Linked DNA regions of Rattus norvegicus. The protein of the gene in region 1 binds, or shares a complex with, the protein of each later gene. Links are inferred from orthologs where the notes say so. Each region holds a gene or a part of one and is shown on either strand. Other genes may lie near its edges.

The links.
Region 2: the proteins of Flt1 (region 1) and Vegfa are in contact, whole or in part, in a crystal structure (PDB 5T89), measured with the Homo sapiens proteins. The link is inferred for Rattus norvegicus from reciprocal best matches to the Homo sapiens genes FLT1 and VEGFA. Residues at the interface, in NP_002010.2 of Homo sapiens: Ile142, Pro143, Ile145, His147, Leu221, His223, Gln225, Asn227, Asn259, Thr260, Arg261, Val262, Gln263, Met264, Ser277, Val278, Arg279, Arg280, Phe292, Tyr293, Ser315, Pro317; in NP_003367.4 of Homo sapiens: Phe242, Pro246, Asp247, Ile249, Glu250, Tyr251, Ile252, Lys254, Met287, Ile289, Lys290, Pro291, His292, Gln295, Ile297.

What each region holds. Positions count from the first base shown.
Region 1 is NC_086030.1:12,500,364-12,505,558, forward strand, and holds the end of Flt1 (vascular endothelial growth factor receptor 1 isoform 1 precursor), read left to right. Parts: intron 1-1,589; coding exon 1,590-1,785; 3' UTR 1,786-4,387; downstream 4,388-5,195. UniProt on the Homo sapiens protein: Tyrosine-protein kinase that acts as a cell-surface receptor for VEGFA, VEGFB and PGF, and plays an essential role in the development of embryonic vasculature, the regulation of angiogenesis, cell survival, cell migration, macrophage function, chemotaxis, and cancer cell invasion.
Region 2 is NC_086027.1:22,451,079-22,456,373, forward strand, and holds the start of Vegfa (vascular endothelial growth factor A), read left to right. Parts: upstream 1-1,775; 5' UTR 1,776-2,252; coding exon 2,253-2,855; intron 2,856-5,295.

The DNA of each region.
Region 1 (5,195 bases):
GTTTTCTGCATCCTGCTGAACCCATTACCCGCATCTCACTTGTAGATGTTCCCACAATCCCCTGGGGCTTGATCCATTGGGCAGTTCTTCCTTCCATTCTGGGTCATTTCGGAATCACCAGGCCCGGGCTGTAGAGTGGACTGGTAGAGATGACCTCAGTGGTTCTCTATGCTGAAGGCTACCCAAGCCTGGCCACTTACCTTCCTACCCACCTACCTTTCCTGGCTCGAATGCCTGGCTCTCAGCTGTGGCAAAGAGCAGCACTGACTGCTCTTGCCGAGGACCCCATTTGACTCCCAGCACCCACGTGGTGGCCAGCAGCCAACTGTTAGCTCTAGTTCCAGGGCATCTGACACCCTCTTCTGGAGTCTGCAGGCACCAGGCACACGTGTGGGACACATAGATACAGGGGAGCACGACACCCACGCGCATAACAGAACACCAGGCTGCCAGTCCCGGTGCTGTAGTTGACTGAGCCTCAACTGAACTCCTACAAACCCCTCCAGTGATGGGATTTGCACAGTCCACCAGGCCACTGGAAAGACGGGCACTCCCAGGCAGATATTTGCCCTTTCCCTGTGATGAAGTCTCAAAAGAAGGCCCTGGTGTCAAAGTCACAGAGTAATGGACCTCAGTGTGTGCAAAGGAAAGAGTAGGCTGGCCGGTCTTTTGTTTCTTATTGAGGATCATGTGGGAGGAAAAGGGTGCAAACCCTAATTTATATCTTCTACCCTGCAATTAAAGATTAACGATCATAGCCAGGCCAGTCCAGGCCGGTCTACCTCCTGTGGCTCATGAGTTCTGTCCATCCTAGCTCTCACCAAACAGTAATTCCAACCCAACATTCCAGGGTGCAGATGCCTTTCTCCCTCCCATGTCCATCTTGGGCTCCTGTAATATATTGTACCCGAGTATAACAGACTCCTAGACCACGATGAGCTCAGGAAACACCTACGATGACTGTGTGTACAGTCCGTATTTCTTGAGACCATTAGCCACAGACTGTGACTGAAGGAGGGATTTATTTCTAGAGGCCAGAAGCTAAAGTCAAGGTGTTGGCAGTGACGCACGCCCTTTGGGGGCTTTGTGGGAAGGGTCTCCTCCCACAGCATCATGCCTTCCTCAGTTGGGGCTGTCCTCAAGCCTTCGCTCTGGTTGGTTAGGACCACCATTTGTGTGCACACTGCACTGGACTCCACCTGGCTAATTCAGAACGAACTCCTCCTCTTTAAGCCTCAGTTTAATTGTAGAGTGGGTGGCAGGTTCCCAGGATTTGACCTGATATTGGGGGAAGGGCAGGCAGTCCCTATCCCCCAATTTAGCTGATCCCAGGAGCTAACAGGACAGGGCTGTTCCCAAGTCTTGTTTCCAGTGAGAATCCCATCTCGTCCAACGCTCCACTCCTAGCCACTCGTTCCACCCAGTGGCACCAAAGTAGCATGTATGTTTCGAACAAAGAACGTGGAACTAGAGACAGATGAGATTCTAGGACAGGTAAGGACAGGTGACCCATTTAAGTAGGCATTAGGCCTATCCCGGAAAATACCTGTAAGACGTTAGATCGATTGATTGTTTCTCTTTCTCTTTAGCCTGAGAATTACTAGTAAAAGCAAGGAGGCGGGGCTTTCCGATCTGCCCGGACCCAGCTTCTGCTTTTCCAGCTGTGGCCACATCAGGCCTGTGCGCCAGGAGGATGAAGACGACCCTGAGCTGGGGAAGGAATCCTGCTGCTCTCCGCCCCCAGACTACAACTCCGTGGTGTTGTACTCCTCCCCGCCTGCTTAGTGCTTCTCACAAGCCCCAGACAACAGCCTCTGACAGTATTATACATATATGAGTTTACACCTATTCCGCTCCTCGGGAGCCAGCTGCTTCTCGTGACTTTTAATCGTGCTTTTTGTTTTGTTTGTTGTCGCTGTTTTGACTAACAAGAATGTAACCCCCAGATAGAGCCACGTGAGGAAAACACTATTGTTCAATCCTCCTGTGACTCCACGTTAGAGAAATCCTTTCTAAGTCCCAACGGCTCGGCTCACCTGCTTCAACCCCCCAAAGCCTCAGGGTAACTTGGACAGGAAGGTGCTGGTGCCGCCCCGCCCACGCTGGCCATGGCCCCACCCACCCTCCCTGCAGCTGTGGGACCAGACCCAGTAAGTCATTAGCTCAGGGCAGCGTGCTCTGGGTCCCTTTCTGAGGAAAGGGAGAACAGCAAACGAGAGAGGCACAGGAAAAGGCCGTGGGCTGCATCCTGTGGAGCCGGTGCAGGAGAGGGCTCTGCTCTGCTACTTCAGTGACTTGTCACTTCTGGCCTCTGCTTTTTCAGGCCCCCTTCCAAGAGGTTACAGAGCAGAACGTGTGGGGTGTTTCCCAGACCAGGGGGCACATGTTCTCGGGAACCACAGTAAATCTTAAATCTTTTCCCGGGAGTCTTCTGTCTCTGTTCGCCATCCAAAGCACGTTTAGTATGTGTCAGTGAGGGTGGCGCTTGGCTCTGCGGCCATACCCACCATCAGTTTCTCTAGCGAGATGCACTGAGGTCAGACCCAAGCTTGGAGTCCTGACCTTAGCATACTGCTCACACGGGGTTAAGTGGTCCAGTTTGGCCTAGTAAGGTTGCCTACCAATGGGCTCAAAAGTCACCTTTTAAACAGGCTTCATTTCAAGTATTAATATACAGACAAGACACTTTTGCATTACCTTGCTTTATATAGTTAGCTATCCAGGGAAGCCGGGGTGACTTAAGAGTAATGGTCTAGAAAAGGGTTTTCTCTGTACCCAGACCCGGCTCGATGGGCTAAGACCTGGTAAGACAGAGTGGGTGCTCCATGTATAATCGCCAAACCACACACCTGAAGTTGGCACCTCACCGCCTTTTACTTCATCGTGTGTTTCCCCTTCTCAAGGCAGTCTGAGAGGAGCAGAATAGCATCAGCCCATGTTTGGTAAGCACTTTATGCTCCTCGACAGAACAGGCGGTGTTCTCTACGGCTCTCTCTACAGCTGCGACTCAGGTTAGTCAGTGAGCCATCAAAAGGAAAAAAAAATCTTTTCATCTGTTTCGGACCTTGCCTGGGGTCTAACAATGATGAGGACAGGGTAGAAAAGGGAAGACAGGGTAGAAAAGGGTGCCCTCTCTTTGGAGTCTAGAGATTGTGAGCCCTGGGTCTCTAAAATGGCTCTTAGAAGCTGTGTGTGCAAATTGAGGGGTGGGGTGGTCTGAGTGTTTAGGTCGTGTGCACCTGCTGGAGCCTCGCGGCTGGGCAGACGATGAATAGCTGCTTCGGGAGAGCGGACCACGCTTGACGCTAAGCTCTCTGCCCTGAACGGTAGCACGTGAGCCTGCTTCCCAGTGTACCACATCCTTGAGGTTCTTTGTCTGATGAGACTGGAGACTCAGCGCAAGCCCCATCAAGGTGGTCTGCAACCCACGGTGGCCAGGATTAGACACGAAAGAAAGGGCTTCCCCAGCCACACTGGAGATAAAGAAATCAGGTAGGGCCGGGCAAAGAAATCTTTGTTCAATTAGAAAAGCTCTTGTCCACTGCGGTGTGTAAATCAGGGATTAGACAGAGTCTACCAGAGAAACGGATGCTATAGCCAGCATCCTGTGATTTCTCAGCCAAATATCCAGCAATTAGAGGGGGATAGCCAGTCCTGTATTATTCCAATTTTAATCATCTAATTCTTAATCATTAAGATGCTTTAGTAAATGTCCCTTTTCCACAAAAGTAAAGAAAGCCTATTGGGATTCTCTGGTTCTGTTTAAGGACAGCTTTGGAGCCTATGGAAGTTGATTAGCCAGAAAAAAGGAAAGAAAGGAAGAAAGAAAATGGTTCCTCCTGAGTTTTTAAGGTAGGAAGAAAAATGGAAATCTATAAAGACAGCCATACCTAGGTGCACTGTGCCTGTTCACCAAAGCCAGCATTGGATGGTAAGAGTCTTGACAGTGACATTAAAACCCTTTGCCATTCAAGGCCAAGCAGTTGGAACTAAGGAAGAGCGAACATTTCTCCTAGTGTTTGGGACTCGCCCTGTGTGACTAGGGAGCTGAAGCCTCAGGCAAGTCTAAGCTAGCCCGAGGCGGATCCTTAGGAGACAGATCTGGTCGAACCCCGTTGCACAGGTCTTCGAGCAGTGAAGGGGGGGGGGGCAGCTCAGTGAAGGGAGAGGGCACCTCTGACCCACAGTGGTAGGAACTGTACGTGTATGTGTGTATCTGTATGTTTTGTGCATAACTATTTAAAGAAACTGGAATTTTGAAGTTACTTTTATATGAGTCAAGATTATTTGCTACAGACCTGAGACATGATCTGGCCACACCTTTCTAGTCATGATGAATGTATTTCATATATTATCTTCATTTAATAAAATTAACTTTCAAAACCAAGTTGGTTTTTTTGTTTGTTTGTTTTGTTTTTAAGTTTTTTTGGTAAGTGGGGTCAAAGGGGTGGGAGGAAGTCTTAGGTGTGCCTCTGGGTAGGTGGGGGACTGAATCCTGGGGCGGCTTATTAAATACCAATTATCAAGTATGGCTCGAGGAAGACTACAGCAAGCACTGTGGGAGCAAGGGCGTGCAACGCCCCACTAGTCCCACACTGGCTGCCTAGGCCTCGAGATGCTGCACCCTGCACATGGCCCGTGAAACGCAAATTCGTAGAAGTCAATGCTATGGGATTCTCCAGGAGCAGAAGCAACAGAAGGAAATTATACCTACTTTAAAGGGACTTGTGATCGACTAGAGAAAGGCTGGGGGGGTGGAGGGGACGACGGGACAGCAGCACTTGCTGTCCTTGGAGAGGACCCAGTTACCAGCACAGCAACTTGAGACAGTCTGGAACTCCAGTTCCAGGGCACCCAATGCTTTCTCCTGTGGGAGATATATATGCATATATATGCACATATATGCATTATATATGCATGCAGACAGAACACTCATACACAGGAAACTAAAACAAAAATTAAGCAAAAAGCTGTCAAGTTGGTTTATGGAGTACGGGTCAGTAGTCCAATGACCACTGTCTTAAACCTAAGAGGTCAAGAACCCTGGCTGGTTCTCCGTCGCTGGGGCTGGAAGCTTGGGCAGTCGGAGCTGTGTAGTGGCTGTCTCACACGGAAGAGACCGACTTCCCGGTAGTCAGTCTACAAGGCCGTCTTCAGCCCATGTTGGCCACTGGGAAAAGCTTGGTCTCAGTGAC
Region 2 (5,295 bases), on another chromosome or scaffold:
AGCATTTACTAACTACTCTCCCTGCTAAAAGAGAGCCATCCGGGAGGTGACTCAGGGCAGCTATGATAGGCCAGATGGGATGGGGTGGCTTTTTTCCTCATAAGATCCTCATAACATTGCTCCATTGAAATTGGGGTTCCCAACAGGTACCAGCATCCCACGGAGCCTCAGTACTGTGTGCAGAGGGATGGAGATGGTGGAGTAACCTTTTCGGGGGACCAGTAGGAAGACTGTTGGCTCCCTTTCTCAGAAGCTCAGCAGACCTGGGTGAGGGCTGGGACTGGTTGGTCCCTCTCTTCCCACAGGTATCAGAGCCCCCTCTTGTTCCCAGGGGAGCCTAGGAGCAGCTGGGCCAAAGCCCAACCAGGAATTTTTCCAGGCTGGTTCCTATATCCAAGGGTGGGCTGGAGGTGGGGGCTTTGGGGAGCTCTTAAGGAAGACACGAGGAGGTGAAGGGGACTTTGTGGAAAGGGAGGGGACAGAGCCACACAGGCTAAGTGTACAAGCATAGAGAAATGGCCAAGGGTCCTAGGTAGAATGGGAGGGGGCAGAGTACAACCCTGAACTCTGTTTAGAAGATGAACTGTGAGCCTAGGCTAGAACTGAGGGAGCCTTACCTCTACTCCCATCCTACCCGGAGTTGGTGGCAGCGCTGGGCAGCTGGCCTAACTACGTTTCTGAATGCTAGGGTAGGTTTGAATCACCACGCAGGCCTGGCCTGCTTCTGCCCCCATTGGCACACTGGCCTTAGTTCCCTGGCAACATCTGGGTGTTTGTGTGTGGGGGGTGTGATCAGGAGGAACAAGGGCTTCTGTCTGCCCAGCTGTCTCTCCCTCAGGGCTCTGCCAGACTCCACAGTGCATACGTGGGCTTCCACAGGTCGTCTCCCTCCGGGCCACTGACTAACTGCTCGGCTTCCCGTTCTCAGTGTCACACATTTGATGCCATATCCTCTCCAGAGAAGCCTCTCTGGAAACTTCCCAGGGAATCCCATTCACCCCAGGGCCCTAGTTCCTTATGTATGAAGATCAGACAAGAGCTCAGATAAGCATACTTGCCTTCCACGTAGCCCCCCGCCCCATATATAATCCTAGAGTTTCTGTTTCCGAGGTCAAACAAGCAACTGTTGGGGGGTGGGTGTTAGAAACACGCAACTATTTGGGAAGTCAAAGCCTGCGGTGCTCAACAGTCAACTCTCACCCCCTGTCCAAGACCCGTGCCATTTGAGCCAGAGTTGGGGTGTGCATAATGTAGTCACTAGGGGGCGCTCGGCCATCACGGGGAGATCGTGAACTTGGGCGAGCCGAGTCTGCGTGAGGAAGGACGCGTGTGTCAATGTGAGTGCGTGCGTGCATGTGCGTGTGTGTCTGGGTATAGTGTGTTTGTGAGGTAGGGGAGAAGACCAGGGGTCACTCCGGGTGTCCGTCTCCCCATACGTCCTTGCCAGCTCTCCGCCTCCCCCCCCCCCCACTTTCTCCTACATTCCTGGGAAAGGAAATTGCCCTCACTCTCCTGTCTCCCCTGATTCCCAACACCCTGGGATTCCCAGTGTGTCCCCGAGCCAAGTTTGAAGGGGTGGACAGATAATTCTCAGGCTATGGACCCTGGTAAGGGGTTTAGATTTCTATTTCGCAGTAGTGGCCTAGGGGCTTCTGAAAGGCGGTGCCTGGTTCGGCCTGGCCTCGCCCCCGGGGCGGGCCTGGGGCGGGGCCTTTGGGGGCGGGGCCAGATTTCCTTTTTTTTCCACCGCTGTTACCGGTGAGAAGCGCAGAGGCTTGGGGCAGCCGAGCTGCAGCGAGGCCGCGGCGCTGGGGGCGAGCTGAGCGGCGGCAGCGGAGCTCTGTCGCGAGACGCAGCGACAAGGCAGACTATTCAACGGACTCATCAGCCAGGGAGTCTGTGCTCTGGGATTTGATATTCAAACCTCTTTTTTTTTTCTTAAACTGTATTGTTTTACGCTTTAATTTATTTTTGCTTCCTATTCCCCTCTTAAATCGTGCCAACGGTTTGGAGAGGTTGCTCCTTCACTCCCTCAAATTACTTCGGATTTTGGAAATCAGCAGAGGAAAGAGGTAGCAGGAGCTCCAGAGAGAAGTCAAGGAAGAGAGAGAGAGAGAGAGACCGGTCAGAGAGCGCGCTGGCGAGCGAACAGAGAGAGGGACAGGGGCAAAGTGACTGACCTGCTTTTGGGGGTGACCGCCAGAGCGCGGCGTGAGCCCTCCCCCTTGGGATCTTTCATCGGACCAGTCGCGCTGACGGACAGACAGACAGACACCGCCCCCAGCCCCAGCGCCCACCTCCTCGCCGGCGGGCAGCCGACGGTGGACGCGGCGGCGAGCCGCGAGCAGGAGCCGAAGCCCGCGCCCGGAGGCGGGGTGGAGGGGGTCGGGGCTCGCGGGATTGCACGGAAACTTTTCGTCCAACTTCTGGGCTCTTCTCTCTCCGGAGTAGCCGTGGTCTGCGCCGCAGGAGGCAAACCGATCGGAGCTGGGAGAAGTGCTAGCTCGGGCCTGGAGAAGCCGGGGCCCGAGAAGAGAGGGGAGAAAGAGAAGGAAGAGGAGAGGGGGCCGCAGTGGGCGCTCGGCTCTCGGGAGCCGGGCTCATGGACGGGTGAGGCGGCGGTGTGCGCAGACAGTGCTCCAGCCGCGCGCGCGCCCCAGGCCCCGGCCCGGGCCTCGGTTCCAGAAGGGAGAGGAGCCCGCCAAGGCGCGCAAGAGAGCGGGCTGCCTCGCAGTCCGAGCCGGAGAGGGAGCGCGAGCCGCGCCGGCCCCGGACGGGCCTCTGAAACCATGAACTTTCTGCTCTCTTGGGTGCACTGGACCCTGGCTTTACTGCTGTACCTCCACCATGCCAAGGTAAGCGGTCGTGCCCGCCTGGTGTCGCCGGGCCATGGCGAGCGCCTCTCCCGCTTGGGGACGTGCGTGCGTGCGAGCGCGCGCGTGGGGGGCTTCGTGCCCCACGCGGGTCCTTGGGCACCGGGCGCGAGGCGTCCCCCTCTGTCGTCGTACGTGGAGGGGGAGGGGGTGCGCGCTAGGTGGGAGGGCGCCAGGATAGTCTCGCCGCCCACGCGGGCCCTGCCCACCCACCAGAGTCACCGCACGTACGATCTGGGCCGAGCAGCGGAGGGCGGGAGCCAGAGGAGGAGGCTGAGGGGGCTGGGCTTGCGCCCGAGCTGGCGGCAGAAGTTTGCTCTGGGTCGCGGGTCCCGGGAGAACTGGAAGTCCGGGCAGAGGGGGCGGGAGTCCGGAGCCCAGCGGGCATGCCTGGGGGTGCTCGGACCTTGGACCGGGGGAGGGCAGAGATCGTGGAGGGGGCAGGGCGCCGGCGACCGAGGGGGCTTTGCTGTCACTGCCATTCGGTCTCTTCGGCCTTTGCAGTGAGTTTGGGGAAAGTTTTAGGATGGATTACTGCGGGGACCCTCTCCCACCCCTCTAGCTTGTTGGGCCACCTGCGCCGCGCCACCCCCTCCCGTCCCCGCTCGCGTCCCGCGCGGTGCCCGCCCTCCCCCGCCTGGCCGGGCGCGCGCGGCGCAGAGCCGATTACATCAGCCCGGGCCTGGCCGGCCTCGTGTTCCCGGAGCCGCGGCTGCTGGAGCCCGGAGACCCGGGCGACAAGCGGCGCCCCTCCCCCACCGGCCCTCCGCGAGGAAGGTGACCTCTGGAGGTATCCCCAGCTCCGGGACCGGGAGAAACTCCCATACCCCTTTCCTCCGTTCCCAACTTCTACCCGTGCCTTGCTCTAGGCAGAATTACCCGACGCCCCTTCCCCCTTTCCCCCATTTCCTGCCTGGTGTGCAGAAAAGCCCTTCCCACCCTTTTATATTTTCCTTTTCCTTGCGAAGACTCATCGGACCCTTCCTGGCCCCAGGGCCCAGGAAAAGGACGGTGACTGTCAGACGTGGGGGTGTTGGGGCCCACCCTCGGGTTCTTTGTGGAAACGCTGACCTAAGTTTTGAGTTGGTGAAGGTGTGCTTCCCTCTCCTCCTAGCAGCTCCAGTTAGCTGTGTTTCACCTTTTTTTTGGGGGGGGGGCGGTCAACGAAGGGTGGACTGACATCACCCTATTTCCCCCGTTTTGGAAACATGACTTGATATTTGCTAAGACAGGGGCAGCCTGGAACCAGCCCTTTCCTACTCCTTTGACAGGATCCCTTGTCAGTATCTCACACACACTTTGTCCTGGCAAAGCCTGATGCCCAGAGAGCAGGTGGTTTAACTCTGAACTTACCCACCCAATTTGCCTACTAAAGGGTCCTTTGATGCTCGTTTCCTCTAATTCTCAGCTATAGAGCCTTCTTGGAAAGGAGGCAGAAGGAAGGAGAAGGGCAGGTGTCCCTGCCACCATCCAGAGGTCCCCAGACCCTGGCACAAAGGCCTTGGTTCTGGGCCTTCATGTGGGGAGGAGGGCAGGAGTGCTTGGCCACAGTGTGACCTTCAGAGGCCCCCAGAGAAGGACACCTGGCCAGTCCCTGCCTAGAACCTCCCCATCTGGGAAGGGGTTCAAAGTTTCTGTTTCCTTTCTCCACTGGGGTCTAGACAGAGGAGGAAGGAGAATGTCATGAGGCTATTGAGGGGGTATTTGAGGGCCTGATGAAGTGCAGAATCCAGGACCAACCTGGGGCAGCTGCAGTGGGAGGCTATGTCTTGAGAAGGGCCACCTCTGACCTTGGCCCTGGTGGCAAGGCTGAGGGCCCTGGATGGATTGCTCTTAGGAAAAAGAGACAGAGACAGACCAAGGGTGGGAGTCTGTCCCTCTGGGGCAGTTGGAGGTCCAGGTTGGTGTGAAGCAGGTGGATGGGGAGTTGTAGCAACAGGAGACCCTCAGGAAGGCCAGGAGCCTTGGCTTGCTTGCCACGTCAGGGCCACAGGGCCTTCTTGGTGACCTTCAGAGGTTCTGGGGAGGGGAGAGAGGAACTGGTGGGGATGAGGAAGGTTGGAGGGCTCAGGGTGGGGCAAAGGACCCCCTGGCAGAACTGAGGAGAAAGCTTCCCTGGGTACATTTAAGCAAAGTGCCCTGCCCAGGTGAGAGGCTCCGGGATGTGGGAGTGGGAGGCTAGCCAGGCTTTGGAAGCTGCAATCGGGACCTGGGCAGACCTGGGACCTGGGGTGGGAGGAGAATGGGACTCTCCCTTCCTTAGGAGCTTCCTCCCAGCTTTTCACCCCTTGAGCAACCTGTGGGTATGCTGACTATTCCCCAGGCCTGGGAAGAGTTCAGATGGGGGAGGGTAGTTGGTGCCCTTCTGTCCTCTGCATCTCTCTTCGACTCGAGCTAACCCTGGTATTTGTCATGTCAGCAG